Medicago truncatula: one gene and its partner. Each later gene encodes a partner of the first gene's protein in a complex. Links are inferred from orthologs where the notes say so. Each region holds a gene or a part of one and is shown on either strand. Other genes may lie near its edges.

What was found.
Region 2: photosynthetic NDH subunit of lumenal location 1, chloroplastic (region 1) and NAD(P)H-quinone oxidoreductase subunit N, chloroplastic share a complex: the UniProt entries of both Arabidopsis thaliana proteins name them as parts of the chloroplast NDH complex. The link is inferred for Medicago truncatula from reciprocal best matches to the Arabidopsis thaliana genes PnsL1 and NdhN.

The regions. Positions count from the first base shown.
Region 1 is NC_053042.1:55,803,597-55,819,805, reverse strand, and holds photosynthetic NDH subunit of lumenal location 1, chloroplastic, read right to left. Parts: upstream 8,303-16,209; 5' UTR 8,175-8,302; coding exon 8,121-8,174; intron 8,038-8,120; coding exon 7,941-8,037; intron 7,784-7,940; coding exon 7,700-7,783; intron 7,612-7,699; coding exon 7,538-7,611; intron 7,174-7,537; coding exon 7,051-7,173; intron 6,970-7,050; coding exon 6,898-6,969; intron 6,792-6,897; coding exon 6,695-6,791; intron 6,338-6,694; coding exon 6,234-6,337; 3' UTR 6,039-6,233; downstream 1-6,038. Other genes in the region: transcription termination factor MTERF4, chloroplastic, read left to right, coding at 3,921-5,426; aquaporin TIP1-3, read left to right, coding at 9,425-9,557, 9,864-10,114, 10,556-10,930; F-box protein At2g39490, read left to right, coding at 14,359-15,150, 15,409-15,567, 15,793-16,014. UniProt on the Arabidopsis thaliana protein: NDH shuttles electrons from NAD(P)H:plastoquinone, via FMN and iron-sulfur (Fe-S) centers, to quinones in the photosynthetic chain and possibly in a chloroplast respiratory chain.
Region 2 is NC_053044.1:31,878,144-31,894,440, forward strand, and holds NAD(P)H-quinone oxidoreductase subunit N, chloroplastic, read left to right. Parts: upstream 1-7,741; 5' UTR 7,742-7,879; coding exon 7,880-8,287; intron 8,288-8,802; coding exon 8,803-8,919; intron 8,920-9,159; coding exon 9,160-9,245; intron 9,246-9,484; coding exon 9,485-9,548; 3' UTR 9,549-9,836; downstream 9,837-16,297. UniProt on the Arabidopsis thaliana protein: NDH shuttles electrons from NAD(P)H:plastoquinone, via FMN and iron-sulfur (Fe-S) centers, to quinones in the photosynthetic chain and possibly in a chloroplast respiratory chain.

The DNA of each region.
Region 1 (16,209 bases):
AACGCTTCTTCAAGTGTTAGCTCACGAGTCATGACTTTGGGTAAAAAGTGTAGTCCCTTCAGTCACTATTATAAGTAAAAGTTGACTTTTTAGGTTCATCTAATAAATGATGTATGTGGTTTCTATATAGACCACATACATCATTTATTGAATGAATATAAAAAGTGAACTTTTGCTTATAATAGTGACCTGAGGGGGTAATTTATATTATACCACTCCTTTCATTCTTAATCTTTGGTTTTATATTTTATTTGTCCCAAAGACATTGGTACCTTGGGAGTTTGGAACGGAGGGGAATAGAGGTAGACATGAAAACAAAACCTGCCCCCACCAGACCCAACCGCCCCGCTCCGAATTTAACGAGGAAAAGTCGATTTAATTGAATTTTTAGTATGGGGGAGGGGGATGCTTACACCCGCCCCGCACCCGCTTTTTGAAATTTACTTTATAAATTTTTTAATCTTAACTCTATAAGGGCCAACCTATTTTAATATATTATTACTCTTTAGAAATATATTTATTATAATTATTTTCCTTTTTTGAAAAAAGTTTATGAGATATTTAATTATTAATATAAAGTCTTGTTAACTAGTGCCCCGGGGTACTGGTTAAGGAATCCATAGGTAGAAAAATTGTCTTTGAAACATAAACGGTTACTTTTACTAACTAACTATTACACCACTTTTTAATAAAATCTTTTCTCTTTTAGCTGCTTAACCAATGCTCCGGGGGCACTTGTTAACATTCTCCTTAATATAATTATTATTTTTTGTTGCTATGAAAAAATATGCATTTTTTAAATATTTTATAAAAAATAGAGTTTTCGTGGGTGAGGGCGGGGCCAGGAGACTGTCCCCATTGGGGCCGGGGTTGGGTGTTCAATTTTTACCCCTGATATGGTTTGAAGATGGAGGCGGGTGCATGGAAGACGGGGGGGGGGGGCAGGGATGCTTAAATCCGCCCCCGATCCGCCCCGTTGCCATGTTTAAATAGAGGGTTTTGGGGTTGAAAAAAAAAAACAGCAAATCGAGAAATTTTTAATATTTTTTTATTCTTTTTTATAAAATGATAAATTAATATTTATGATTATTAAAAAAAAGTTTATTAAACTCAGATTAAATTGTTAGTAAATTTTGAATACCATTTATTCTTTTTTTAAGTTGCGCATTCTTATTTGAGCATATGAAAGGATCAAAGTTTGTTAAACTCAATGAGATTAAACTGATACATTTGTCATTTCTGGAGGCAAAATTGTACCGTCTATTTTGTATCCGTTAATTTTAAATGGAATGAAATAAATTAACCTTGTTTTTTCTTTAAAAAAAAAAGACTTATTGAAAGTTGGGTCGATTAGTCTTTCTCCTTGTGTTGTACATTCTCCATGAATATAATTATTTTTAAATTTTAATTAATATCAGGAAATAAAAAAGGGCGTTAAAGATGAGTCAGATTGTACTTGTGGCTTGCAATTGCGTTTTTTTTTAATCATTTTATTCTTGTGATGGCAGGGATACCTATATGAGAGAAAGTCTTGTATAGGCACAAATATTTAGACACAAAATTTAAGCACACACACGTAAATCAAAAAAAATAAAAGATAAATAAAATAGTCACATTAATCAATATCCCTTTAATCATTTTCTTTTTAATTTTTTTAACTTCTTGTGTGTGTGTCTAAATGTGAGGTGTTGGTCTTGTGATCAAGTAAGAGTTTCTCCCATGATCATACACTAAATGAATGAGCCCCATGTTGCATTCTAATTGAATGAACTAATTCATTTCATTCTTGTGACAACATGTAAATTGGAAATAGTGTCTATAAGACCTTGCACTCGCTGAATGAGCCCTATCTCGCATTGTTACTGCGCTTACATGTGTAAATAATGTATTACATAATTGATAAATTTATTTGTATTGGTTTGATACTTTCGATCTCAATAACAACTAGAGAAAACTATTTCAACAATAAAAATTATCATGAAAATAATCATAAACAAATTAAATACATACAACCTATTTGTTTATATTGGAAAAGACATTATTAATTTGTTTAGTAAAAAGTCAATTATGAATAAAATTGGCTTCTTAAAACGTATTTTGTCCAACTTTTTTAAATAACTATTGTTAATTTAGAAATTATAAAAATGCTAAAGTCACTCGTTCTAAGATACTCTTCCAATACATCAATCATAATAAGCCACGCCGCACAATCCAATTTTTTTAATTACTTTTACACCTTGTAACCAATTCTATTTTTCAGGGGATATATATATATATTATCATTATCATTTAAATTTTAATTGTTCATCTTCTTGCTCGAATTCGATCTTCCACAAAGGAGTTCTTCTATTCATAGAAGATACATAATTTGAAAATCATAAAACTTTCGTATCCTCCCAAAATCAATATAAAATTCATAAGTAAAATCTAAATTATTATGACAACGACAACCCAAAAGCAAATCTTGATTTGAACAGTGTTTAAATCCCAACATAACCGCAAAATCCTACGTTAATAAACCATCTCGATAAAAGAATGAAACTCAACTGGAGCTCACAACCAAAACTTCCACAACATATAATCTATTGCAATAGAGGGATAATGTGGCAGCTAAAGACCAGACACGAATAAGTCCACGAAATCTACAATGCGGCTGATCATGGCGTCTCCCAAAAACATGAAACTTGTAAAGAACAATGTTGCAGATGAAGTATGTTGGAACATCAAAAGAATCAATGTAAATCTCAATAATGTTGATTCTTGTAATAAAATATAACATAAAATCATTATATATCAAAGACGAAATGTGTCTCAAAGACGAAATGTCAATTCCTGCACAAATAATGAACTAATTTTGAATAATAGTGTTTTCATATATTGGTTAAATTTGTTTTTAGTCTCTACAACACTTGTGATTATTAAGCTAAGTTTTAAATATTTTTGTTTAATTTTAGTCCTTAATTTTTTGTTATAGAGCATAAATGCAAGACGAAAAAATTGAATAATTTTTTCGGAAGGACTAAACCTACAAAATGATCACTTGTGGAACTAAAAATATATTTCACCCTTTAATTTCCTATGTGAAAATATTTATTTTTTTCTTCATAGTTGACCCTTGCGTAATTTTTTTGCTAGCTTCGTCCCATATCTTTAACTTAGTTTGAGGAAAATCCGAACTTACATTACATCTATTTAATGTGGAATTTCACTATCTTATCATGCCTAATTATGAAAATAATTTAATAAAAAAAAACAGATGCAAAAAGAAGTACCCAATAAAAAAAACAATCAAACTCAAAAGGATAAGAATTAAAAATACGGTGACTAGTCCAAGAACATGTCGCCCTATCTAAAGTATGAACAACTATGTTTGTTTGTCTCATAACAAACTTTACCTTGAAGTTAGAATGTAAAGATAACTGATAACTAATACTAGAAACAATAACATAGAATTCCGAATCACCATGGTCCGGAGACAATAGAGCTTGTACTAGAGTAGATGAATCACACTCAAAGACAACCCATCCCATCTGTTAGCATCAGCAAAGTGAAGGACCTCGAGTAAGGCTACTGCATCCCCCTCCAAAATGATCATATTTGCCCGCTGCCATTTCGTTTGAGCCTGAATAAATTGTCCACAGGAGTCTCTAACACAACATGCAAAAGATATAAGATGATTACGGTCATGGAACACAACGTCCACATTACACTTCAACCACGTCTTTGTCGGTTTCTCCCAAACTCACACTCTATTATGCCCGTGCTGCACAACCGGTGGTGAATTATGCTTAATTCATTACTCTTTTGAAACCTCAAAATTTCTTTAGGAACACTGTTTTCTTCACACTTGAAGTCACCTTCTTCATTTTCATCACACTCCATATTTCTGCACTCAGTGCTTCACTTCCACTGTCAAATCAATGTTCACAAGAAGAAAATTCCTCAATATACTTTCATCACGCAATGTTAATGTTTCCAAGCTAATTTCTCACCAATTAAATCCAAATCCACTTCCAAATCCCCAAATTTCAAACAATTTTAGGGTTTTACTATTCAATCTCTATGGAACCCAAGATTCCAAATTTCCGGAATACGAGATGCCTACTGTTACATGGGGTGTGATTCAAGGCCGCAAAGAGAAACTCGTTTCGCGGGTCATCATCTTCGATTATCTCAAGGGTTTGGGAATTATTCCTGATGAATTGCAGGATTTGGAGCTTCCTTCAACCGTTGAAGTCATGAGGGAACGTGTTGAGTTTATTCAGAAATTAGGGTTAACGATTGATGATATAAATCAGTATCCTTTGATTTTGGGTTGTAGTGTTAGAAAAAACATGATTCCTGTTTTAGGGTATTTAGAAAAAATTGGGATTTCTAGGTCTAAACTTGGTGAATTTATTAAGAATTATCCACAGGTTTTGCATGCTAGTGTTATTGTTGAGCTTGCTCCTGTTATTAAGTTTCTTAGAGGACTTGATGTAGAGAAAGATGATATTGGGTTTGTCTTGCAAAAATATCCTGAACTTTTAGGGTTTAAGCTTGAAGGTACTATGAGTACTTCAGTGGCTTATCTTGTTAGTATTGGTGTTAATCCAAGGGATATTGGTCCTATGGTTACACAATATCCTTATTTTTTAGGGATGAGAGTTGGTACTATGATAAAGCCTCTTGTTGATTACTTGGTTAATTTAGGGTTGCCTAAGAGGATTCTAGCTAGGATGTTGGAGAAAAGAGCTTATTTACTTGGTTATGATCTTGAAGAGACTGTGAAACCTAATGTTGATTGTTTGATTAGTTTTGGTTTGAGGAAGGAATATTTGCCATCGGTTATTGCTCAGTATCCACTGATTATTGGGTTGCCTCTTAAGGCGAAATTGTCTTCGCAGCAATATTTTTTCAGTTTGAAGCTTAAGATTGATCCGGAAGGGTTTGCGAGGGTGGTGGAGAAGATGCCACAGGTGGTTAGTCTTCATCAAAATGTGATTATGAAACCGGTTGAGTTTTTACTTGGTAGGGCAATACCGTCGCAGGATGTGGCTAGTATGGTGATCAAGTGTCCTCAATTGGTTGCGCTGCGAGTTGAGCTCATGAAGAACAGTTATTACTTCTTCAAAAGTGAGATGGGGAGACCTGTAAAAGAGCTTGTGGAGTTTCCAGAATACTTCACTTATAGTTTGGAATCTAGGATTAAACCTAGATACCAGAGGCTCAAGACCAAGGGGATAAAATGTTCATTGAATTGGATGCTGAATTGTAGTGACCAGAGATTTGAAGAGAGATTGCAGGGCAATTATATCGAAACCGAAAGTATAGGTCCTTCATTCTGTATTGGTGGGAAATTAGAGCTACCCGGGAATGACATAGTTTCAGATGAGGAAGAGGAGAGTGATGATGAAATGCTATACAGAAGAACTGTTTCTCTTTAGCAGAACAATGCATTTTTTATTTTTATTTTGCTTGATGAAATAACTAGAGTATAACTTTCATGTTATCAAATGAAGGACTATGATTAATCTCTTTCCATTTTATATTACTATTACTGCAATTGTCATCTCAAGTTTTCTATCTATTCATTACCCTCATGGCCACAACTATCTTTCAGGTGAAATGAGGTATAAAACCAATGATAGCATGTGGTATAGTACTTGTTAGTTATATTGCCCTTAACTTCCATGTATTTTGTGTCTGTTTGGATTTGGTGTCTTGGTCGTCTTGGCTTTCACAATTGAAATTGGATTAGTATCATCAAGAAAGAAAGGAAAAAAAATTATATTCATTACAATTTTCTTCACCTCTTAAGTGGTGATGGTTATGTGACTTTGAAGGTAGCAGTGAGTGAGACAGTTTAGTGCCTTGTTATATAATCTGTTTGGCAAGGCCTATTCATGAGCATATATCAGATATCTTAAATAGGGTATAAGTTCATTTCTTTAAAATAGATCTGTTTGGCACAAAAAATTTCTCATGATTTTATAGCGTTTTTTTATAAACTAAAAACTTTTTGATGGCAACCTACATCCTTCTGTAATTCTCAGTGATTTATAAAGTTTATCATATTCACATGCAATGTATGTGTCAAAGTGGATGGCCTCTGTATGCAATACAGAAACTGAGCTTTTGTATTTGTATGATATAGATGAAGATGATATCATTCACTTGCAAAAATTTACATATATTTCAATCTTGACGTGTAAGGAAAAATTGGAACATGTCTTGCATTGTCATGTAACATTTCAGATGTCAAGGAGCCTAAAGGAGTCTGCTACCACTTTAAGCTGATCTCGTACTTTTTTCCATCGTCTTTCATTGGCTCCCACAATTAATGTGTAGTATCTTCCTGTACAGAATGAATGTTATTACTTATTAGTTTACATAAGGAGCCTTTGATTGCATTGAAAACTCATGCAGTTGAACTTCTGTATATTAACAGTATAATCTGTTTTTATGACACTGAAGTCGTGTAATTTCGAAGAAATTGGCTTCATTTGAATAATTAGTCTTCTCAATGTTGTCTCTCTATCTGGGTTGCACATTCTTTGTTAATTTTCTACCTGTGTCACTTATAATCATTTTTCTATATGAAGATTCTTGTTGTATTATCTAACAGGACAGAGAAGTATATATTGAGTTAGCTTTTCTTTGAGAGAACATTTATTGGATATCACACTGAGATTTGAGATGGTAGACTACTTACCATTTCCTATGGCAAGTGTTGTAAAGGAGGCACTAGCGTAATTTCGTGATGTAAGTACATATTCCATTGTATAATAATGTTTTCCATCTATCGTCCGCTGCATTCAGAATTCAGAAATGATTGTTTGTCAATATGCATTGGCCATCAAAACCTACAATATTCTTTTGAAAAAAACAAATTGGAGAAGAAATGAAATGAGAAACCTCTTGCATGTCATATATTGTTGGTCTTTGGTTTGGTGCAGTATATCTATGTTTCACCAAATCAGTTATAACCTGATTAAGACGCAAACTGGCTAAGTGTATAACTATAAATTAGACTCCATAACATTAAGACAGAATCTAAATCATAATCACCTCTTCCATTGGACCCAAATCTCTGATATCTTTCTTCTCAGTTGGTATGAATCTCACCCTTACATTTTGTAACTGTAAATATCTGTCTTTGAATGCAGAATCGTGTGCCCTGAAGTCAAATTCCTAGGGAAAAGATCACCCAGACAAGTGACAAACTTGTAGAAAATTATTTGGTTGTTGAAACTAATTCCTCTGTCTTATCTTAAGTTTTGATCAACATTACACAAACACTTACAAAGATCATTGAGTGTACTAATTCATGTGATAAAATCAACGCAATATACTGAAGCACCCTTATTAATATAGTTACGCGAATATATAACTAAGCTGAGATACAATAAATAAATGTATATTTGTGAAAAAACTTAATCAATGCTTCATTGATATTTTAAAATGAGAGATGATGAGGTGGACAAATATTTCAAATGTGATAGTTAATATGAAAACAACGGAATAACATTTTGTGAACCAATATGATGAATTTTACCTTCCAATCTGAGGGATAAATGTAAGAATATCCATCTTCATAGTCGACAAAAGATCGGTATCTGTCTGGTATTTCTACAAAATAAGGACTAATTGAATTTCAAAATTTCAGAAGATTGTGACTCCTCTTTACATATCCAAACAAAGATGTTATTATGAATACCTTCAGCTAAGAGTGAATTTGCTGGTAGCAAATTTGCTGTTAATGCTCCTATACCCAACAGAAGTGGTCTTCTCTGGCAGTGTCCTAATAATAAATAAAAAGAAAACTCAGATCAAGCTTTGATAAAGGTAGATTACTTCTGATAAGTGTTGATTCTTGATTAGCACAAACACTGACATGCTCATTGTAAAGTCAATGTAAACTTGATAGTAGTTATTTTAAGCACAGATTAAGCTCTTACTTTCTGTACTGGAAGTTGTTTCCATTGCACAAGAGACATTGTTAGAAGATGAAGTTGTAGTATTCCGAAGCAAATGATTTGAATGTGGCAAGTTTAGCTGAAACAGTTCACATGAGCTGTTTATGTATAAAGAACATAGTGTGAATGCAATGAAGAAAACAAAATATATCATGAACACACCTTATGGGATAAGTAGGATGAAGTCCAGGTTAAAGAGCAAGAAGAAACTACCATAGTGGTGAAGAAGAGTGGTATAGAGCTTCAGTTTTGAGATGGAAAGAAATACTGAGTGGATAGTAAGTAGAATTTAGACCTTGTGATGTGGCTAGGAGTTTGTGGTCATGTGACAAGAATGAAACTTGTTATTTTTTTTTTTTTTTTTCATTTAATTGGATAATGTCTCTTCTCAACTATTATTTTATCTTAATTATTTGAAAAATCTTTCCTATACCCCCTCAGCTGGATCTTCTATACGCACAAAACATATAATATCCACATTTTGTTCTTAATTTTTTTTTTTTATGTATTTATACTTATAAAATTCAAATTTTAAATTTCCAGATTGTATTAGTTATTTGTTAAAAAATATTTCAGAAAAACAAAAAATATTTGTGTTTCTTTATCAGATTTTTTTGAGTTTTTCAGAAACTATATGTTAAAAAAAAACTTAAAATTTGATATTATTATTTTTTATTATTTTTTAAAAAATAATAATATTTTTCTAATTATTTTTCATTCCAAAGTTTCTGGTTATAGAGTTGGAAGGAAGGGAGTTTTTTTCACCGAGTGATTTTTTTTTAGTGGTCGAGAAATTTAAAGTGACGGGTTCAAAGGTATGTATATTTACCTCTCTGCAAAAGTATTAATGAGACTCGAATCCAAGAGGGTCTGTCTTTTTACCACTGAACTAGACCTTTGGAGTTGCCTGCACCGAACGAATTTTGCAAAGAAAAATCCTCCAAAATCCATTAGTAAATATTGTGCACTTAGTATTTGTGAGAAACAACTTGGAAGGAAGGGAATATACTATTACTATGTAGTTGGGTAAGGAGGATACCAAAATTTGTGAACTAAATGAATTTGTGCAATTTGTGTCAATTATTTGTCAAGTTTCATTGTTGATTTCAATGACATCATGGCCGGTCAATTTATAAAGATAAATTGTTGCAATGGTGAATACATGAAGTTAACTATCTAAATTCTCAACCCTTTGATCTTACCATGCAGTTACATCACAGCCACAAAACAAGAGCCAAAAATAGTAATCATGTGACAAACTCTTAGGCTGTATAAACTGATTCTACATGGTCTTTACCCTTAAACAATTGAATGAGACCGTTTCTTTAGCCGTTAATACTTACCTTTGTTGTTTAAACACCAAATGATTAGCTCTCACACTTTATTTTCACTCTTAGAAAAATTAATAAAATTAACAAAAACACATTTCTTCTGTTTCTGTATGTTAAGGTTGATTTAATTAATTAATGGCAATCTACAGAATAGCAATTGGGTCTCCTAGAGAGGCTAGCAATCCTGCTGCAATTAGAGCAGCCTTTGCAGAGTTCTTCTCTATGCTCATTTTTGTTTTTGCTGGCCAAGGCTCTGGCATGGCCTATAGTGAGTAATATAGATAACTTTTTGAAGAGTATTACATATTATTACATATACATTTTTTAACATTATCTTTTTTATACTCGTTCAATTATTGATTGATATTAGAAATAGATCTTAAATGAAGTGGTGAGATGTACGATAATTTCACTCAATAAAAAGATAGAGCGTTGAAAACGAATTATTAGTTAGTTTATTGTAAGCAATAAGTGTTTTAGAAACTTATTTTGTGACATTAGAAGATAATTATTTTTCAATGCCTTAGAATTGTTGAGAATTTGAAGATATATAGCTTGTTGGCTATTGTGGCAGATAAACTTACAAACAATGGAGCTGCCACTCCTGAAGGTCTCATAGTTGCATCATTATCTCATGCATTTGGGTTATTTGTGGCTGTTTCTGTTGGTGCAAACATTTCTGGTGGACATGTGAACCCTGCAGTCACATTTGGTGCTTTCATTGGAGGAAACATTACCTTCTTGAGAAGTATTTTGTATTGGATTGCACAGTTACTTGGTGCAGTTGTTGCTTGCATTCTTCTCAATTCATGCACTGCTGGAATGGTAACTAAATGAATCTACTACACATGCATTTCCTTCACCTAATTTAAAATATAGGCTCAAATGCACTTTTTAGTTTAATTTTGTTGATGTGTTCTCTTGTTAATACATTTGATGACGTGGCAATGTTGAATTGGATAATAACATATTAAGATTTAATTTAAATCACCATCACCATATCATGAAATGTATTTCCATGTCGTTAATGAAAGATGACATATAAGAAAAATTAAGCTCAAAATCAGGTAGTTGAGAAAAATTCAAAAACTTGTGAAGTGAACTAAATTTTGAGATTTAGAACGAGTGGACTAAAATCTTAATTCAATAATAATTAGAAGATCAAAAGTGGATTTTAACTATAAAACAGAAATTGAACACTAGTTGAATTTGAGATATCAGTGCTACATTTAGATTTTATATATATATATATATATATATATGCAGGAAACATCAGGTTTTGCTCTATCCTCTGGTGTGTCTGTGTGGAATGCATTAGTTTTTGAGATTGTGATGACATTTGGATTAGTATATACAGTTTATGCAACAGCAATAGACCCAAAGAGAGGGAATGTTGGTGTTGTAGCACCATTAGCAATTGGTTGTATTGTGGGTGCAAATATCTTGGTTGGTGGTGTTTTTGATGGTGCATCAATGAACCCAGCTGTGTCTTTCGGGCCTGCTGTTGTTAGTGGAACATGGACTCATCATTGGGTCTATTGGGTTGGCCCATTCATTGGTTCAGCTACTGCTGCCATTCTCTATAATAATATCTTCATTGCTGATCACGTTCATGAACCCCTTTCAAATAGTGACTTCTAGAATTTTTATTATTTTTTCTTCTTCTTTATTTCATGTATTCTGGTCCCTCTACATATTATTGAGGGATCAATAATACTGCAGTAGAATCTTTAGGGAGTATTCAATATTTTTATTGCCTAGAAGTGATTACCAATATTTGTTCATTACATTATAGTGCCAAAATGGATAAATGTTGGTTACTGATAGTATTTTAATTTTAATAAGCTGAAAGAGAAAGGTAAAAAAAAAAATGAATTTGTTCATTCTTGTCTAATCTAACCTAAATTTAATAATGATTGAAAATAAATTATAGCATTGGACATGCATTTTGGAGGCATGTTTTCATGATATGCACTGTGACCTGACCATATGGCACAAGATGATTAATTAATAATGCTAAACTAGTCCGACTTGAGAGGTTTCTTGATGACCAAGTCAAGAGGATCATCTTCCACCAAAAACAAAAATCCAAGAGGAAATGATCAATATAATATCATCATTCAAAAAGACCAACAAGAAAAACGCCATCAGATTCGGTTCTACAAAATCTGTGCATATTTTTATGTAGATTTATTTCGATCATTTTAAAAGACATGCTATATAATAGAATGCTATCTGTGCTCGTGATTTTCGGGTATCAAGCCATTGATTGGTTTTGAACCTTCAATCTTTGAACTCTCGATTTTTATTCGTGGGAGGGAAAAAATGAGTAAAAACCTTTAAGACCTGGATTCGGGGGTTGGTTACGCAAAGGGAAGGTGCTAGCACCCTAAGCGTCTATGATATTCCATAGGAACCTCTTACCTAGATTATCTTGTGCTAAATTCATTTGCTTATTTGAAAAATTATTACCTAAAAATCTAAGTGAAAGAATGGAGGGAGAAGAAATATGTTTTTGGTTATTTTTATTTGATTTGGAAGGACATGGTCCTCTGCCTACGTACCCATGAGGGATTAAAACCTCGTAGTTCGGGGTAGAAATTGACGTTTGATCGGTTTTGTGTTTTTTTATTAGTTTTGAAAAAGGTTTTAAAATGAAAAGTCAAGTGGCAAATAAGAATCTGTTTGTGTTTTTTAATTTAAAAGAAAATGGACTTGAAGTAGAATTAAGTTGATTGAAATTTGATTAAAAAAATAAAATAAAAAGACGGTCACTTGATTTAAGATCAAGATTTATTGTAAAAAAATATTTTTGGTGGTTTTTGTTATTTGGATGTTTTTGTTATTTTGAATGATAAATAAAACCTAAAGCTAAAGCATGAGAATTTTGTAGTGAGGTTGGATCACCACAAAATCTCTTAACATAATCTAATTTTTTTTTCATTTTTTATAACTTAAGAGCAAAATAAAATAAAAAATAAATACCTTGAAACCGAAAAGGACAGAAAGGAGTAGAAAAAGAAGAAAGACTCGTCAAGACAAGTCGAAGAAGGGAGAAGAGAGGAAAAACACAGGAATCATCAACTGTGTTTTCGGTGTGTTGAATGCATTGTATGAGCCCTCTATTTATAGAGAAACTTCACAACTAATAGGTGAGAAACTTTGGGAACAAGTAATTCATCTAGTACAAAAATATGCCAATTGTCTACCAAAATATATTGAGTACAAAAATATATTATTCAGTACATAAATATGTTATTTAGTACATAAATATATATTATTGAGTATCAAAATATATTTCAGATCAAGCACTAAAATATATTAGATTGTCTACCAAAATATATCATATTGAGTACAAAAATATATTATTCAGTACATAAATATGTTATTCAGTACATAAATATATATTATTGAGTATCAAAATATATTTCAGATCAAGCACTAAAATATATTAGATTTTCTACCAAAATATTTTAGATTGTGTTCCAAAATATTCTAGATTGCGTTCTAAAATAATTTAGCAAAACTTGGGGACCAAGAAAACACTTTTTGATAATGACCAAATTAATTATCATTTCCAAATAAAATTTTTCTAGTGCTTACTTCGTTCACACAATTATGTACCCCCATTATATAATCTTAGGTCAAAAATTGGGGTATCTCTGCCGAAATTTTGTCTAAAACGACGGACATTTTTGGTTTTAAAAGTACGAACAAAATGTGTAAAAACAGAGAAAAATGGTCAAAATTTAGGATATGACACTATCCAAACAAGAAAGTTCTAAAAATTGAAACATAAAAGTCACATTGGTCACAAATGCGTTTTTTATTGACTTTACTGTGATGTTAATTTTGTTGACTTTATTTGATCTGCACAGAGCTAAAAATGAAGTCATTGGCCCCCAAAAATAAAATCATCGAAAGATTGATATGAAATTCACTCAATAAGAAATCAATTCCAATAGGAGCACTTGCGCTTGAATCCATTATCTTCAACAACAAGCTTAAACAAATATCTGCTTTATCAGTAGTTTTTTTATTAATAATTCACTTAAGGAAAACTTTTCCATATGCCGTAGGAATTAGCATAAGACAAATATATATACTATATATTTGATATGTTTACGTCACTTTAGGTTAATATTAATAGTACCACTACGGTTGAAACATCTTGGCAAATCTTAAATGTATGATTATAGATTTTGTGAATTGGTCAAGTTTACAAACCACTTATTGCAAAGTCACCTTCATTAGTATTGGTCTCAGTCTCAGTTTGAACGTCACTGATATTATTTATTTGATTAAAGTCGCTTTGAATGACAAGTATACATTATTTCAAATGGCATTAATATCCAAACTTATCCAGAATATATATGTTTTTTTTTTTTTTTTTTTTTTTTTCAGCTGGTAGTGGCTATAACTCACACAATACATAATTAAATCTGAAGATGTGGGGTGTTCAGGGTTCGAATTTCAGCCCTGCATATAATATACAATATCCTGACAACTGAGCTCATGGGGATATCCTATAGATATATGTTGATTGAAAGAAAACAAAATCATTTTTATATTTATATATATTTTTTCATTTCTTGCTCAATTTATTTTTATTTTTATTTTCATTTTTAGCCTTCACGCTTTGGACATATTATTAAATTAATCAAATATAAAAAGCATACGTCATTGTAATATCTTGCCAAAATAAACCCAGTCTCATCAATTATCATATATTGAATCGTAATCTATAGCTTATAGTAATCACTAATCAAATATATATTATATTGAGATATCCGCTATAGCAAATAAAGTTAAACAGAGATGGTTCATAGTCCATACCATATTGTAATAAAAAAAAAAAATGATTCTATTGTAATATAAAAATAGACCATACTATAGAATTGAATTCAACAGGAAGAATAGACCGCGACCGGTAAATATTGACTGGAAGGTTGAATATTTGGATAAATAACATCCACAGGGTTCATAACACAAAGTACATTAATTTTGAGTCTTCATATTCTTTCTCTTAATATCCTAATACAAATTTGAAACATTAGAGCTACCATTCCATGGAAGAAAGTGTTCAGAATCTGTTTAGATATTTGCCAGATGAAATTCTAGGCTGCATAGTATCTTTTCTACCAAATGAATATGCACTTGAAACCAGCCTCATATCTACCAGGTGGAGAGACTTATGGAACCATGTTCTTGTTAAACATGGAACTATGGAAGATATCACTGGTGCTGTTGCTGAATTTCTAGCCAATTTTGATGAGTTAGATCCGTTAAAGCGACCATGCAAGCTTCGATTTCACTTTGCTGATGACAATGCACTCCTTGCAGCTATTGCAACTAATAGTAAGCTTCTTCTTGATTTTTCTTATGGGATGAAAAAAATTGAAAGAAAATATGAACTTCGGTTCAAGCTCGATAAGCAAAACTTCACCTACCATTCTGTTTTCCTATTCAAAAGTCTCTATTTGAAATCATTAAGCTATTTGACAAGTGAGGTAGCTTCTTCGATCGTTTCGAATTTGGATCATCTTGAGAATTTAACGATCACCGATTGTTGTGGATTACAATCTTTGTTCATTGAATCTGAATCAAAGCTTCACAAGTTAACAATCTTGGATTGCTTGCAGTTGAAGTCTCTTCATCTTAGAACTTCTAAACTTAAATCATTTCGATATCGCGGGCTTCTTCCACGGATTTGGCCAGAATCTCATTTCAACTTGTGCCATGCCATCCTTGATTTCAGACAAGGCCTAAGCTGCAGGGATTTGAGTGCTCAAGATTTTGATGAAATACTATTAACCATAAAGAATTCTGAAGTTCTTACTTTATGTGAATGGACTTTTGAGGTATGCTCTCAATAATTTCCCATCTTATACTATTGCTGGTATCATACATATATGTCGCTTATTGTTTATCTAACATTGACACTTCAAATTGAATGTATGCCTGATGTCGAACATGTGTCAATGTCGAACACGGACACACATGGTTACATTTAATTATTTTATTTTCTCAATTTATTATAAATGTCAACGTATCAGTGCTTCATTGCTCATTGTTGTCATTTTTTTTCCTATGCATAATTTAACTCCAAGTTCTTGCAGACACTGATATGGCCATCAATTTCTCCTTCGAGTGGAAGTTTTATATTCTATAAATTGAAAGAGTTGTGGTGGATTGACAACCATGAGAATGAAAACAGCATCAATGCCTTAATCTCCTTCTTGAAATTATGCCCTGCCTTGGAGCAACTTGTTATAACGGTAGGACTGTTTGAGTTTATCTACTCGCATAAATTTGATGGGACTGTTTGCAAAAACTTTTGACATGTTCATAAGTTGTTTTCAATTAATTTTCATAAACTCTTGGAATAGCTTATGGAAATTGTTTAATTCTTTGCAAGCAAGACCTAGCAATAATTGATGCTCTATTTTGCTACATATAATTTTGATGTTTTTGACAGTTTTATCATACTTGATTGGATGCAGATTGATCGTAATAGTTATTCAGCTCCGCAGTCAAATTTAGGCTCAATTCAAGCAACTAAATATACAGAATTGGAGCATCTAAAATTGGTAAAGTTCAAGGGTTTCACAAATCCAATAGCTGAAATTTCAGTGGCAAAAATATTAATTCAGCTAGTCAAGGGAAAGCCTCCAAAGATAGAGACGTCAAGTGGGAGCAATTTGGATGTAGCAATTATGCAATGATCTACCTAATCATATTTGAGACGCATTAGACATTAAATATGGATCTCTCTACCAGCCAAAATTCAAATCTAGATTCGTCACATTGCGGAAGTCTAGCCATTTCCGATAGAGAAAGTTGTCGCTTATCCTTTGTAGATCTTGTTTTATTTCTTTCTTTTCATTCTTTTAAAGTATTCTAGGGAAAGCATGTCCGAT
Region 2 (16,297 bases), on another chromosome or scaffold:
GGAAGGATTTATTATTATTAGTCCAAAAGTTCTGAATACTCTCCTTGGCTCGGGTTCTTGTTGGGTTCTTATAAGTTTTATTGGCAGACATGTTCTTTATATGGCTTTAGCCATAGTATATGGTAAGTAAATGATTTTATCTTAGTTTCTGTTGGTGATCATGTTTTTATTTTATTTTATTTATAGCTGCTATATGGTAAGTAAATGATACTATTGTTTTCTTTAATTATTAATAATAACTTGTTTGTCATAATAAATATTATCTTTTGGTAGCTTCATTATAAATCATTATGTACAAGATGGATTTAGTGGTGTTCGTGCTAACAAGTACTCTAGATAATCAAAAAGAGAATTTTGTATAGAATGTATTAGAAATGAATATATTTTAGACTTTAAAGAATTCTTCACACAAATTTTAAGATATTTTTAAGGATCGGGTTAACAAGGGCCCCGGCACTAGTTAAGCCGCTAAAAATGAAAAGAAAAATGAAAATACACAATTTCAGATAAAACATTTCCTTTTATAATTTCTTAACTAGGGCATTAGGTGCACCCTAACATTAACATTTCCCTATTTTTAATACATTTGTTTCCTTCTTTAAATAAAAATTTGTTTTGTTGAGTATGTATTTAATATTCAACCATTATATGTAATGATTTTTTTAAATTTAATTATTTAAAATTAATTTAATTTTTGAATTAATTTTGCCTAACCGGTACTTTTTTTTTGTTGTGGTGGTCAGAGTTTGAACCTCAGACCTTGCATATATTATGCATTGTTCGTACCAACTGAATTAAGCTCGCGAGGAACGTCTAACCGGTGCCTAACAAAACTTAACATGCGTGCTGTTTTCTCCAAAATAAATATTAGGAAATCACAATGGGTATTTTGGAAGATAAATTTAGTGGGGTGTGTGTAGAGAAATAATATTTGAACATCCATTTGATAACAACTTTCTCTATCATACTCAAATTATTTTTACTTTATTTCTCTATTGTTTTGGTTTTTGTACAAATGTTTACTTTTCCTTTGTAAATTATGGTTGTGACATAAGTTGTAAATCAATTTGGTTATTCAAATAACACTTCTCATATGGTAAATATTACCAACTCTTTGAATTGCTACTATGTTCATCGTGCTAACTCATGCAATGTCCTTTTCACACACAAGAGTCTCTTATGTACTCTATACTCACTCATAACTATGACTTTTTACACAAACGATTATGTTGTGTACACAACAGAGATCCAAATGGAGTATTTACATATTCTTATTTTATACATGTACTTTATAATATTGTCATATTATACTTAAAGTTTAATCTCACGGGCTTAGTCTTCTTATTTTCACTCACTCATGAATTGATTCGTTTATTTTCTATTTCAAGATTTGATTTGGTCATTCACTGAAGTATTTGATTAATAGAAGGGACACAACGCAACAAAAGGGTAGAAGCTTATTCATGAAAATTGAGTGGATATATATAGCTGGCTCTGAACTTACACACACCTGTGTCGGCCACTTTATTCCAAAACACAGAAACATAATATAGTCTTGCCCCACGTTCTTTGTTGGATGGAGTGGAAGAACTCCCATACATTGCCTAATGCCTGCCATCCATAAAAAAAATCTTCTAACAAATGCCTTTAATGGATACAATCATTTTTTGGTATTTAAACAAATTTTATACATCATTTATTTATATTTTTTTTATTGTAGTATCTAATAATAGTAATCATTTAATCCAGTAAACTCAACACCCTACATAGATTATTTAAATGAAAGTTAATTTCTACTAATAATCTTATATATCATTATATTTTAATATTAAAAAAAGTGGTTCCCACTTAAGATTTGAATGTTTCATTTACACCTTGATACCATTAGGTATTTAAAAAACAATTTCTCAAATCATAAAAGGGAATGCTCCCTCTGCTTTTTTATACGCATTTATTGTTATTTTTAACATAAGTTAAGAAATTTTGTAAAAAAAAAAACATAAGTTAAGAAGAATTAATTTTGTATTGATATGTTCATTTTATATACAACTATTAAATTACCCTTTATGTTTAGATGTATTTATAGTTGGTTTTTATATTTCAAAGCAAAGTATTAAAATTAATCAAGGTTATGTTTGGAAAAAAAATATAAATGCATTTATCTAGTAACACATATTTAGAAACAATTCTTGCTATTATTAAAATGACAACGGTGAATGAAATGTATTTGCTTAGGTGGGGGGAGGATGATGAGGCTTGGAAGTGGAGGCGCCGTTTATTAACTTAGGAGGAGGAGAAAGTGCGGGAGTGCTGTGATTTTTAACTAATATTGTTTTGCAGCCTAATATTTCAAACATGTGGATTTGACATTTACACGCGTCCATCTAATAAGGAGGTGCCCTAAAAGTCAGTCTTTTTGCATCAGTCATCAACAACAACTTAGCATTTGACATTTGACATTTACATTTACATTAGTCAACAACAACTTGGCAGTTGCACACATAACTTAAATTGGAATAAGGAGGTGCCCTAAAAGTCAGTCTTTTTGTTTGGCGTCTGCTGTGTAATTTGGTACCAACATAAGGCAATTCAATTAAAAGACAAATTTTACAACCAAATGCTCAGTTATGTGTGGGGGTGGATATGAGATACTGAAAGATGCAGAGCACTTATTCCTCTCTTGTGATTTCTTTTGTAAACTTTGGTACAATATATCTAATTGGCTTAGTTTCCACATAGTGTATCCTGAACATGTGTCAGATCATTTAAATCAATTTGGCACCTTAGGAGACGAGTTTTTCCAAAGTATTCGCTCAACTTTTAACCTCATATGACCATTTTGTGTGTGAGTGATTTGGATTGAAAGAAATGCTCGGGTCTTTCATCAATAAGAGACCTCGCCTCATCAATTACTCGACAAAATTAAGCTTTAATCATACTGGTGGCTGAAAGAGAACCGTCCTAGCTTTGCTTTCTCTTACCATTTGTCGTGGTTGAATCATTTACCATGTTTAGTTATCTATCTGTAATGAGGTGGCTTTGTTCTTTGGTCCTTTTGTATTTGTTACTCGTTGTGTAGTAATTGTTAAAACAAAAACAAAAACTCTTATTTTCAGAATAAAATTTATATTAAATGATTCTTTAATCGGTGTTCTTAGGACACTAGTAAGCAGAACCTTTACTTTATAGGATAGAATACTACTTGATTGACAATACTGATTAATATTCCAGTTTTACAGCGTGCTTGATTCAGCTTGAATGTTGAAATTAAATATTGGATGAAGGTGCACAATGCATGCAACTGGCATTAGAAAATCACCCTTAATCTTTGTTTTTGTCACGACAGAGGTTGGAACTTTTTTTGAAAGGGACGGAGTTGGAACTTGAAGCTGCAACGTTCTACTTTGTTGACATTCGTGATGTTTTGTTTTTGCTTTTTTCTCTCAAATTAAATCATGTCTATATATTTGTCGCAGAAAGTTTTTCAAAATATAGTTGCAGAGATTGACCAAGCTCCATATAATTACTTGACTGCGGTAGAAGCATGGCCGTTTTATAAAATTTGGTGGTTTAGAGCGAATATACGGTTTGAGTCATAAATTATGAGTATATAAAAATAATTAAATTTTCAAAGTATAAAAATAATTTGTTTTGAAGATGATAGTTTTTACCACGTTAAGAAATGACCTTACAAAAATTCAAAATTCATAAAAAAAATTGAGTTTTTTATTTAATATTCAAATGCTTATACAAAACATTTCATACGGGGAAATATACTTACTTGGGCACAAGTCAAAATAAATATATTTGGGCATGCACACAAAACCATAAAAAAATATAAGAGAATAAAATTGAATAATGTCAATATTGTTAAAGTAATTTCGTACTTATTTTTTGGGGCATAGGACGGTCACCCTACTCACTCTACCTCAGATACGGCCTGGGCGGAGGACAACATTCCTTTGGTGAATAATCAGGTTTGATTTGCTTAAACTAATTTTTTTTTTTTTTTTTTTGCGGTTGTTACTAAACCATGTTCCGACTAAGGATAACTTGGTAAGGCGGAAGATTTTTCCTCAAAATGATCAATATTGTTCAGCAGGCTGCGGTTTAATAGAAGACATGGATCGCCTATTTGTTAAGTGTGATTTATATGGAAGAATTTGGTTTCTTATTTCAAGTTGACTAGGCTTCTCAACGTCATCTCATGAGAATTTATTGGATCAGTGTTACTGTAGTTTGTTAGGTTCGGAGCTATTCGAAAATTGTTAGCTTGACACTTAGTGTTATTTATACTTCTATGGTTTGGATCATTTGGAAAGAGCGAAATATGTGTATTTTCCAGCACATGGTGGAACATTTACAATAATTAAGTGAACAATTTAAGCTTCAATCATTCTAGTGTTTAAAATCAAAATATGTTGCTTTTAATTTTGACAACCATCTTTGGAGGCTGAATCTTATTCTTTGTTTAGTTGTTGTAATTTACTCGTTTCTTCTCTTTTGTTGCTTTGGTTTGATTTGTAATATCACTTTGTTTTTTTATAAATCTTTTCGGTACATTTTGTGCTAAAATGTCTTATCTTAGTTGGTAATATATTTCATTTGAACCTTTAAAAAAAGAAGTTAAAGTATTACCATCAATTAAATAAATAAGGGTCTTGTTAACGAGTGCTCCCGGGACACTCTTTAAGGATTTTAAGAGAATAAATTATTTCATAAAAAGTCAAATATTTTGATTTTCGATGCATTGATTACATAAATTTTCAAAAAAAGTTACCATATAAAAGTCTCAAAGAATGTCTCGGAAGCACTCGTTAACATTTCCCAATAAATAAATAAATAAATAATTAGAGCGTATTATTAATAAAGCAATAGTTAAAGTTGCATTGACCTTTAAACAAGATAAATAAATAAGAACAAAATTTCCAAAAATGGTACTTAAAAAGAAATAGACGGATTATGATTAAGAATTAAATAGATTTTTTTTTTGAAGAAGATAAAATGGAATATAAAATCAAAAGCATGGAAAATCAGCATAAGAAGTGCCAAAAATCAACCGAATAGATTAATTGAAAGCATCCATTGCTTAAATGCTCAAGAGGGTGAAAACATATTCTTTGTGATGGTTGAAGACTCATAAACACAATTTTGGTTTTGATCTTTATGATTGTCGGACGAATCCTTCGTATGTTTAGGATTTATCACCTTGTGTTGTCGTTATAGGCTCTTTATCTTCTTCCTTTTCTATTTCGGTTTTTTGTGACACTGTTGTGAGCCATTTTTAAGCACATCTTAGGTTTAACTTCCTTCTCTTTTTGTTTTTTATTATATATATTGATTCTCTTTTAGCTTCTTAAAAAAAAATTGATAGATTAAATTTGTATTTTAATACATCGTTGTTTTCTATGTTTCATTCCACTAAAAATAATATTGTTTAAGACATATCAGACACTAAATATTAATACATCTTTTAATCGGGATTCATTCAAATTTTGGCACACAATGATGTGATAATAATATAACTCTTTTGCTAAACTCAACTTGTTGAATTGTGATCTCCATAATTCAAACATATGAAGATGTTTATATGAATATTATCAACATTACTAGTTTTTTTTGACAAGATCAAGATTACTAGTTGAAATAGGTTTTACATATGTAAAATATTGTCTTTTTTATTGCTACTTGCGGTGGGTTTATTTTAAGGCTCCACATACGTTGTTACGAGTACCATTTTAGGTTTTTAAAATGGTCTTCTTCTTGAGGCAATACTTAGACCTTAGTTCGAATATACTAGAATATTATCAGTGTAACTGAACTCACTTAAAAACTAAACCAGTTCCTCGAAAAGTTCGAGATGCAAGTACAATTGAACATATCGTTCACTTTTTGACCTATTATTAGTATATTACGTAGTAATTTTTAATGGTTGATGTTCGTGAAATGGATTGGACATGTTCCCCTGGTTTTTCATGTAATTAAATTATAAAGTTCTATAAAACCTCTAAATAAACATTACTATAAAGTGCTAGAGTCTGTTAAGATTTATTATTCTATTATTAGTTGAAAGTTGATGTCATTACTGATGCAGGACCACTTCTTCATGTTTATCCGTCAGTTACGTTAGTAAAAAAATTTATCAGAATCTTAGGAGTGTTATTTAAACAATTAATTTGGTTGATAATTTGTGGGACAACATAATTTACAAAGAAATAGTAGGAAGTTGCACAAAAATCAAAGTAATAAAAAGATAAAGTAAAAGATAATAGAAATATAAGAGGGAAAGTTGTCACATGTTCAAATATCATTTTTATTCTATTATTGGTTGAAGGTTGATGTCTAGGACCACTTTTTTGGATGATTTGAATCACTTCTCCTTCACCGTCACCATTCAGAACCATAATCAATTTTTTTGTCTAATTTAAAATACGCAGTGCCGCACGTGGTAAATCAGCAAAATCATTTTATTTAGGAGAGCGAAATTTTAGACTTGGCACCGTTTAACACATATAGTTGCAGTTTACTACAACAATGAAAATTTTGGTTTGTTTATGATCAATGTTGGTGTTACGTTATTTGATTTAAAGGAAAAATTGAGTGATTATTTCAACGATGTTGCTATAAGAAGTTTGGTTAGTGTTGAGTATCATCCTCCGTTAATTGATTTAGATGAACACGTTCGATTCACTAAGATGAAACTTTAAAACGACGATGATGTGAAAACTGTTCCCTATATTTGATCAATATAGTTCCAAGGAACCAATCGAGATAGACGCTTCCTTATTGAGATCTATCAATATTTTCGGGTAAGTTTTATTGGTCTCAGGATATTTCAAGAAATTGTAGCGTGCATGGTTGAACCTAATTAAGAAACTAGCTTGCCTTGTCCATGATCTTGTTTGTGTTTAACCGATGTTTTTAATTTTTGTTGTTGTTGTTGTTATTGTTATTGTTGATGATGATGGTGATGAATTACATTGTTGAATTTTATTTAATGGAGTGTTAGTCATGTTTTTTCATGGTTTCATTATGCATATGGATTATGAAAACACATTTTGGATTCTAAAATTCAAATGGAGGTATTTTTGAAAAAAAGAAAGAAGAAAGGTGCCCAAAAAGTATGGGGAAAAAAAAATCACAACAAATTGGCATGTAATAAGGATGCATTCACTTCCTTAAAAAAAAATAAAAATAAATAATGCACTTGATATAAGAAATTATAAAAACTTAAATTATCCTATAATTTTAGTTCTTACTATTTAGGTTGAAATATCTATTCATAACGTCAACTTATAATAGTAAGGATCAATTACTAAACGTCAAATTAGAATAGTCAAACAAATAATTTTACATATGTAATAGTGGTAAATTTAGTAGTATAAATACCACACTTTGATTCATGTAAACGTGCATCATTTTTGAGAAATCAAAACATATCATCCTACTTCCTTCTCTCTTGATTTTCTTAATCTGATAAATCCTAGTACTATATATTATTTGAAGTATTATAAATTAAAGTAGTACTTAATATCATTTTATTAGTTCACTAATATCATAAAATAAGTATTTAAATATCTAAATCTTTAACAACACTCACTTTTTTTATACTAAAGGTGAAAACAAATAATAAGAGTGAATAAGTGAATAGTTTCACTACATGATGATATGCCACTATCTCTAATTGAAGGTTACAAGTGAAGACAAGACTTTATCTCATTTCTCCACCATACAACTAATATCATTCATCCTCAGTCTTAATTTCCAATTTCTAACCAATGTTTCTTTATCTTTCAACTTACGAAGAAATAAAAAAAAAAATGTACATTATTCAACAATAAATTTCTTCATTAGCACCAAAGAAAGAAACAAAACAAAAATGTTAGCCTCTGCAAGCTTAGGTTGTGGAGGACCAACATGCTCTAACATTCAGCAACCACCAAGGAACAGCTTCATGGCTGAAAATCATAACAACAGTGTAAGATTGATGATGGGTTGGAGAGGAAAACAATGTAACAGTAACAGAAGTAAAAGGGTAGTGAAATGCAGTAGTGGAATAGGATTAGGTGACTTCATTGGAGGAGATTTGGTTAAATTTGATATTGGACGTTGGCTTTCAGATGTTGAAGAACATAAAGCACTTGCAATATATACTCCTCATGAAGGAGGGTATGAAGGACGTTACTTATCGCGTCTTCAACGTCAAGGTTACTATTTTCTTGATCTTACAGCTCGTGGTCTTGGTGATCCTGAAACCACTCTCACCAAAGTTCACCCTGTTTGCCCTGTAAGTACATACCTTGTGTCTCTTTTCTTATTAATTTTATGAACGAACGAAATTGACCTAGGGAAAACATATTTGAGGACTAAATTGACTACCTAAAAATAGATTCGAGTATCAAAATGAATGATAAAAGATACTCTTGTGGGCATGCTTGCAATTTCGATACATTTAGAAACTATATAGTGATATATATAGCGCCTCACACATATTCAAGAACCAAAATAGTTGTTTGCTCCTTTAAAATACTTTTTCGGCTTTTAATGATTAATAGCTATTATTACCAATGTAGTACATACCAACACTTAAGATTGAAAGTGTGTCTGGCATGTGTCACTGTATGACATCAATAGTACAACGATACATGTGGTGTGGTTACATTCTATAACTTTCATTTTCTCAAACTGTTATTAGTTTCTACGTGTAAGTGTCAATGTCGTGTCTAATGAATGTTTCTGTCTTAGTGCTTCATAGATTATTACTCAAGTTTACACTACATGGAATTTTTTCATGAATCCCAGGCTCATTTAGGAAAGCAACCAATAGCAAGGTGGTATTTCCCACCAGAAGTTGATTACAGATTGGAAGCATTACCACCAAATGCCAAAGGACTGGTGGTGTGGATCATTGAAGCTAAGGTGTGGATTATGCTTTACTTTTATTACATTAAAATACCCCTCACATACTTAAAACAGAATGATTATTGCTTTTATGTTTTCTCATATTGAAATTTATTATAAGTACACCATCTCAAAATGCTTTTAGATGAAGTAGGGTGAATTATTTGTATTATTATTATATCTCTAGGACAATGCACAAACCCACCTATTTTTTTTGAATGGCTGCTGTACTAAAATGTTGCTTCGGATGTTGCTTAGGTTCTCTCCAAGGCTGAACTACAATTCCTTGCTCTGCTGCCAACACTAAGGCCTAATGTGAGGGTCATTGCTGAATGTGGAAATTGGTAGGATGCCAAATTTTCTAATAACCTTTTTGTAGATTTTACAGTTTTTATTCTTCTTTGCTTATTTCTTTTGATATTTATCAGTGCTCTCTGTTGCAAAACTTGTGCTTGAGGACTCCAATTTACTTCAGTTTAAATTTCCACCTTTATATGCAAGGTCTAGTTTGGATTAACATCTAGCAATAAGAGCTTCTCCACAATGAAATCTCATTCTAATGTTTGTTTATGTGAATGATCAGGAGAAAGTTTATGTGGAAGCCGCTAAACGAAATTGCTGGACTAACCACTAGTCAGGAAGCTTGATAGATGATGATGCATTTGATTTTCCAAGCATCAACAACCAAGTAGGAATATTTTCATCTGTCTTCAAGCTTGAACTTCCAACTCAAGGCACTTTGCAGATAAGAAAATACACCAAAAGATATATAACGATGAATGAATATCATTGTAAATAATTAGATTTACCACAACCATGAGTGATATGTACATTCTCAAGGTTTAATTTTGTCATGGCACAAACATTTTCATCAAAGATGATATTTCAAGAAATTATATAGATTTGCAATGTGACATTTCTAGATGTGAAAAAAACACTGGTTTGAATGAACTAAATGGAAGTTTTGCAGTAATTTGACCAACTATAAAACCAAACGTCCTTCGTTCTTTTTGTCTTCATATGAATATGAATTAATTTGCCCTCACATCACAATAGATTAATTATGTTTTGGTCCCTGTGAGCTTAGCTCGGCTGGTAGGGACATCGCATAATTGATTGCGCTTGTGCCGAGGTGCTAAAACTTTGCACGGGTAGAATCCCAGTCCTGATATGCAAACTAGTAACCAAAACTTTCATTCCGAGTAAACCATCAAAACGGCTCCTGATTCTGTAAGGTAGTGACAAGTTAGTCCCTAAAATTATTAATATTTTAAAAAAAAAAACCCGGCTTTGCTAATTGAACTCTTACTTTTATAACTTACCTTCATATTTAAATTGGTCTTCTACATTTAGTCCATTACTACAATAATTTCAATCTATCGAATTACGTTCGAAAAAGACTAATCTGCAAGACAATTTGCAAGGTCGAGGACATATTTGAATTATTAGCAGTCTTAGAGACTAACTTTGTGTCATTCTGCAAATCCTGTCCATCATTTTGATTCTTATGGCTGAGAATAAACTAATTTCAAAATACTATGAAACAAACAATAACTAATTAAACTTGTTTATTGTGGCATAAAATGCAGCTAACAATGGTTATTCATGAATCCTCGCGCCTTTATTCAGCTGTACCTTTATTGTCAAGGAATGTTTTCAAGGACATGAAATTTGGGAATATTGATGTCCCTAAGGGCACTGAACTTTGGATATTGATAATAAGTTTGCTAATGGAACTGCTGGTGCTTGTAAGCATCCACAAGTGTATATGCCATTTGGAGTTGGTCCAAGAGTTTGTCTTGGACAACACTTGGCTTGGCTATGCTTGAACTTAAGATGCTCTTGGCTCTTATTTTGTCTAACTTCTCTTTCTCCCTCTCTCCAAGATACATACATACTGAAGCCAGACCATGGAGTCCAGCTAGTAGTAAGAAAACTATAAACCTTTGACAAAATTTAGGGGCACTGTGAGTCTGTGACATGTGTGTATCATTCCTGATTGGTATCGTATGCGTATCAAACACATGATATGATCAGTTCTATTCTGTCTTCATCCTGTCTATTCTATCTTGATCATCAAATCGATCCTTAAAATATTTTATTACAATTGTACTCTATTTCATGAACCTAAGAATTAATAATAATCTTCTTGCCTAAGTGTACAAAAACATCAATGCTAATTGTATAATGTTGTTGCACTAATTTCCTATTTTCATGTTTCCAAAGTGGCTGGAAGTGGTGGCCCCTGTTTTTCATTTTTGCCTTAATTGGGACCTTTTTTTATATTTTTTCTTTCTTTTTAACCTATTCATGTAATAGATTGGTTTATGGCCTGTACTCTTCTTTATATATGTTTCTTTATTTTTTTGTTGGACAATATATTCTTCTTTCTCTATATACATTAGGTTTTTTGAATAGTTTGGTTTTTCATTTTTTTTAAACAATCCTCGTTATCAATGATTTGGACCTCAACGTTACAAATTCATAGTTATTTGAATACTAAAATGAATCAATATGTTTATTGATAATAAAATAAATAAATAAATAAAAAATTTCTAATAGATTTGCAATGTGTCAATTCTAGATGAGGGGAAAAACTGGTTTGAATGAATTAAAAGGAAATTTTGGAGTTATTAGATCGATTATAAAATCAAAAGGCATAAGCAAAATAGGAATATTGCATTTCATCATGAATTAGAGAAGAAATACTCATAGGCATAGACAAACACATAGGGGCCAGACTAATATTGATGCTCTAACTAAGCTGCCATGACAAACCCAATCAACTTGCCTCCTAACAAAATCTAGCTTGTAATGACTATGATCGGCTATAATTTTGCGACATTTTTCAAAAGATTGTCTATCGATCTCATTAGATGGTTGCTCAACTGGGCCCCTCAAATTTCTCAACCAATCAGGTCGTAACTCTCGATCTTTTTTTTTTTTAAAAATATAGGCAATTTTGAAGGGCTTATTGAACAACCTTCGTCTCATAATTGTATAGATATTAGCATCCACTATTACATTGCTAAGCAGACATGAGTTTATAGCCCTAGTTTTCAGCAGTCTTAAAGGGAAAGGAAAATAGCATAGGCCTCACCCTCTGCAACAACCGAGCATTGAGAGCATTTGTCTAAGATACAAGTGATGCACTAATATTTAAATTCACCCTTCATGAGTCATATAAATCCCAAGCATATATTTTTTCCAAAACCAATAATAATATATAGATTTAGCTGCGCAATAGGTGGATCAACGTGCATTAAATATGAATAAATGAAGTATCAAACTAAAATCTTTGTCTTTTTCTTGTTATTTTAGCTGAGCAGATCCATATACTTATTCCTATCATAGCAAATTAAATCTCCTTTGACTTGAGTTTACATAGAAAGTTAATTTTTAGCTATGAAGCTCCAGTTTGATTTGCAGTTTTTGAATAACTGCAAAAATATATACTTGGCAGTTTGGAAACATGAAGAAAATTGGTTAATTTTCTTGTTTCATTATTGATAACTGCAAGAATATATACTTGGCAGGCTTTGAATCAACTGCAGTTGTTGCTTCATGGTGTCTTATGTTATTGGCCTCAAATCAAACTTGGCTAGATCGTGCTCGTGCCGAGATACTAGAAATTTGCAGCGGTAGAATCCCAGATTTTGATATGATTTCAAAGATGAAGCTGGTAAGGACAACTTTCATTTTGATTAAATTTTCAAAATGGTTCTTGATTTTATAAGTAGGTAACAAGTTGTTGAGAAACGAACGATAACTAAGTTTGTTGTGGCATTCAATGCAGGTGATAATGTTTATTCATGAATCGTTGCGCCTTTATCCACCTGTACCTTTATTGCCAAGACACACTTAGGAGGACATGAAATTCGGGAATATCGATGTCCCAAAGGGCACTGGCCTTTGGATATTGATACTAAGTTTGCATACAAATCCTGATATTTGGGGAGAAGATGCCTACAAATTCAACCCAGAGAGATTTGCTAATGGAACTGCTGGTGCTTGTACTCATCCACACGTATATATGCCATTTGGAGTTGGCCCAAGAGTTTGTCTTGGACAAAACTTGGCCATGCTTGAACTTAAGATGCTTATAGCTCTAATTTTGTCCAACTTCAAATTCTCCCTTTCTCCTAGATACATACATTCACCTGCATTTGGCCTTATTTTCAAAATAAGCAATAAAAGAACCATTCATGTTTGTTACATCCTAAGACAGATTTATTCCCTATGTGAGAAATTTTAAGTTTTACTTAAGGGGGGATTTTCCAAGTGTCAATATTATTGATTACTTATTTTTCATTTAATAAACGTTTTGACTTTTGACACAATCGGAGTTGTATTGGGTCTTAACAAAAGAGGTTAGATTCACATAAATTGTGACCGTCTAATAATGAAAATATATTATTAAAAACCAAAAAAATATAAAATGATGGTTTGATTTAAATTTAATGAAAATGTATTATTAAAAACTAAAAAAATAAAGAAATCAATATATAGAAAAGATAAAGTTATGTTTGCCTTCATCCGAATTTTGGGGGGGGTCTGGTTTTTTGTGTAGGCTCCTGAGATTCATAGCTTATTACTGAGAGGCAGAAAACCAATTTCCAAATGATTCAACTCTTGTAGAAAGGAGAAATCTCTAAAAAGGTTATATACTCTCCATTGATTAATCAAATGTACGTATTTTTCATCATTAAGATTTTATGCAACGTATATATATTGTTGTAACATTGCTTTTGTTAATGCATTTTTTATTGAAATGTTGTTGAATATATAGATTTTACAATAGTTATAGCATCGGGGAGTGATCTAACGTATAATAGAAGAAAAAGGAGGATATAAATAATGGTTCATCATGAGGAATACATGGATGTTGCAGACTCTGATTTTCTCCATAATAACAAAGAACAACTTACTGATGATGACTCAGAATTTGAAACTGTGTTTGAGAATTACTTTGCATTCTCCGTTGCCAAGAATCGCTTCTTTGCCCGAAAACTGCCGCTTCATGTTGTTCTAGGTTCCGGAAAAGGTATGCTCGCGTGTTTCTTTTACATTTCATGAGAAGCACCGATACAAAGCTCATTTTGAAACTCTTTATTATTAGCTGAAATTCGTATGATTCTCACTAATTTATTTGAGTCTCGTTTCTTATTTGATGTGGCTCATTACTAAAATGGTAAGGTCGACTTTAATTTCAACTGTTCTTGAAAAGAAATTGTTGTAAAGTGTTTGCTAGCAATCATGTGCATTCCATTCATTTTTTCATACAATGCAAGTTTCATTGATGTTGTTAAGTGGGATTCATATTTACTAATAAGTTGGCAAACGCTCGAGCAAAGCGAATAGAGCTAAAAGCACTACGAGTGTTGTGTATCAAAAGCGACAACCATATGTTTCAACCAAAAGGGTTGGGGTACAGGAGCAAAGCTCCCTGCACAACAATAATCAATATGTTGTCGGAAACATAGGCACAGTTGGCCAAACTCTATGATTGATCATTGTGTTCCTATGCATCTATTTATTCGTTTTATTTAGAACCCGATTTGTTAATCGAACTGTTGCAAAGTAAAGTGAATCTGTTAACCACATTTGAGGGAGTTACTTGGCAATTATAGTATTATTTTACATTGAACAGATTTTTTTCTTTCTGTTTTGGTTGTGATAAAATTTATGTCTGCTTATAGCTGCTGATATAATACTATGGAGAGAGAAGAGGATCACAGCAAGCATTCTAGCTGGTGTAACTGTCATATGGTTAGCATTTAAGATGATGGAATACACTCTGCTTAGTATCATTTGTGACTCTCTCCTAATACTATTGGCAATGTTGTTCCTCTGGACCAATCTAAGGTCCTTGATTGGCATGTGAGTTTAATTCACTTTATACTCAGTTACTTAAGTGCTTTTCTCTTTTTAATGAATGAATTATACATTTTCTTTTTAATACAGATCTCGACCTAAGTCATCAGCATTCATCATACCAGAAGGGATGGTTTTTAAAACTGCTATTTCAATGACAAAAAACATTAACAAACTACTCAAAACATTTCGAGTCCTAGCTTCCGGACGGGATTTCAAGAAGTTTCTTTTGGTGCCTTTCAGCAACCTTTTAAGCTTTTTGCTTAGTCATCTTGTCACAGTATCATTTGGTTTTACCTGACAAATAAATAATCTGCAGGTTACATGGACATTAGGAGTTGTTTCACTTCTTGGCATTTGGTTCAGTGTTCCTACTATATGCTACATAGGTCAGCTACATATAATACTGTCAAATTATAATCCAGTTTTTACACGGTTAAGGAATCTACAGGTGCTGAAGAGATCAATACCACTGAATCAAGATTTGATTCATTGGTACTAATCACTTATCTGCAGCAACTGTATGATTAATTCCTTAACTATAGGGAATCCGGGTAATAGCCGGAACCAAGCAGCTATTTATCATGATAGTGACATATTCGACACTAAGATATTACTGAAATTCTAGTTAGTACTAATATTATTTCTCTTTTGCTCTGTTGATGTAGCGACTGTGATAATGCTGACAGTGCCAGCAGTGTATGAAAAGAATCAAGATATTGTAGATATTATTTCTGAGAAGGCGCTGATTGAATTAAATATTCAATATGCAGAGTTGATGAAGAAATTTTTTGGGAAGTCCCGACACTTGCAAGATAGAGATCTAGAATAGAGGTAAAACAAGTCTATATGGTGTCGATTCAAATTAGTACTTCATGGTGATTTTTTTTTTTTTTTTTTTTTATGTTTTTCTGCCTACGCTGCAAACAAGACATGCACCAAAAAATGTTGCTACACAGTTCTTCCTCAAACCTGTGTTCATCACAAAGGATGAAAGAATGTAGAAAATGAACTACAATGTACATCTGTACTGGGAAAGCCAAGTCTTTATAGATACATTGATTCATGTTCAAGAGTTCTTAGGGGCATTGCATGATATGATAGGACAAGGCTTATATTGTTGTAAAGAAAGCCTTTTTATATGCCAATCAATAAAAAGTGTAAACTAGTACATTTGATAGATTCACATCAACTATCGAGCCTTTACACAAGCTTTATATAATCCAAATATCTCATCTTTAAATTTAGTTTGTTAAAAAGACACGATATCAAACACGCAGTCGGAGCTTTCAAGCAAAAGAGAACATCAATTTTACAACAATATCTATATTTCACTCATTTGAGGCATAAAAACAATACCTAGAACTTAGATCCTAAGGACAACAGTTGAACTTTAAATAATTATACTGCCTTCCAAAAATTACAAAACTGAAAGCAAATTTAGCTGACATAAACTACATACAGTTTTACATTAACAAAAATTGTTGGAGAAATAGATCTACAAATTCCGGTTACTGAAACA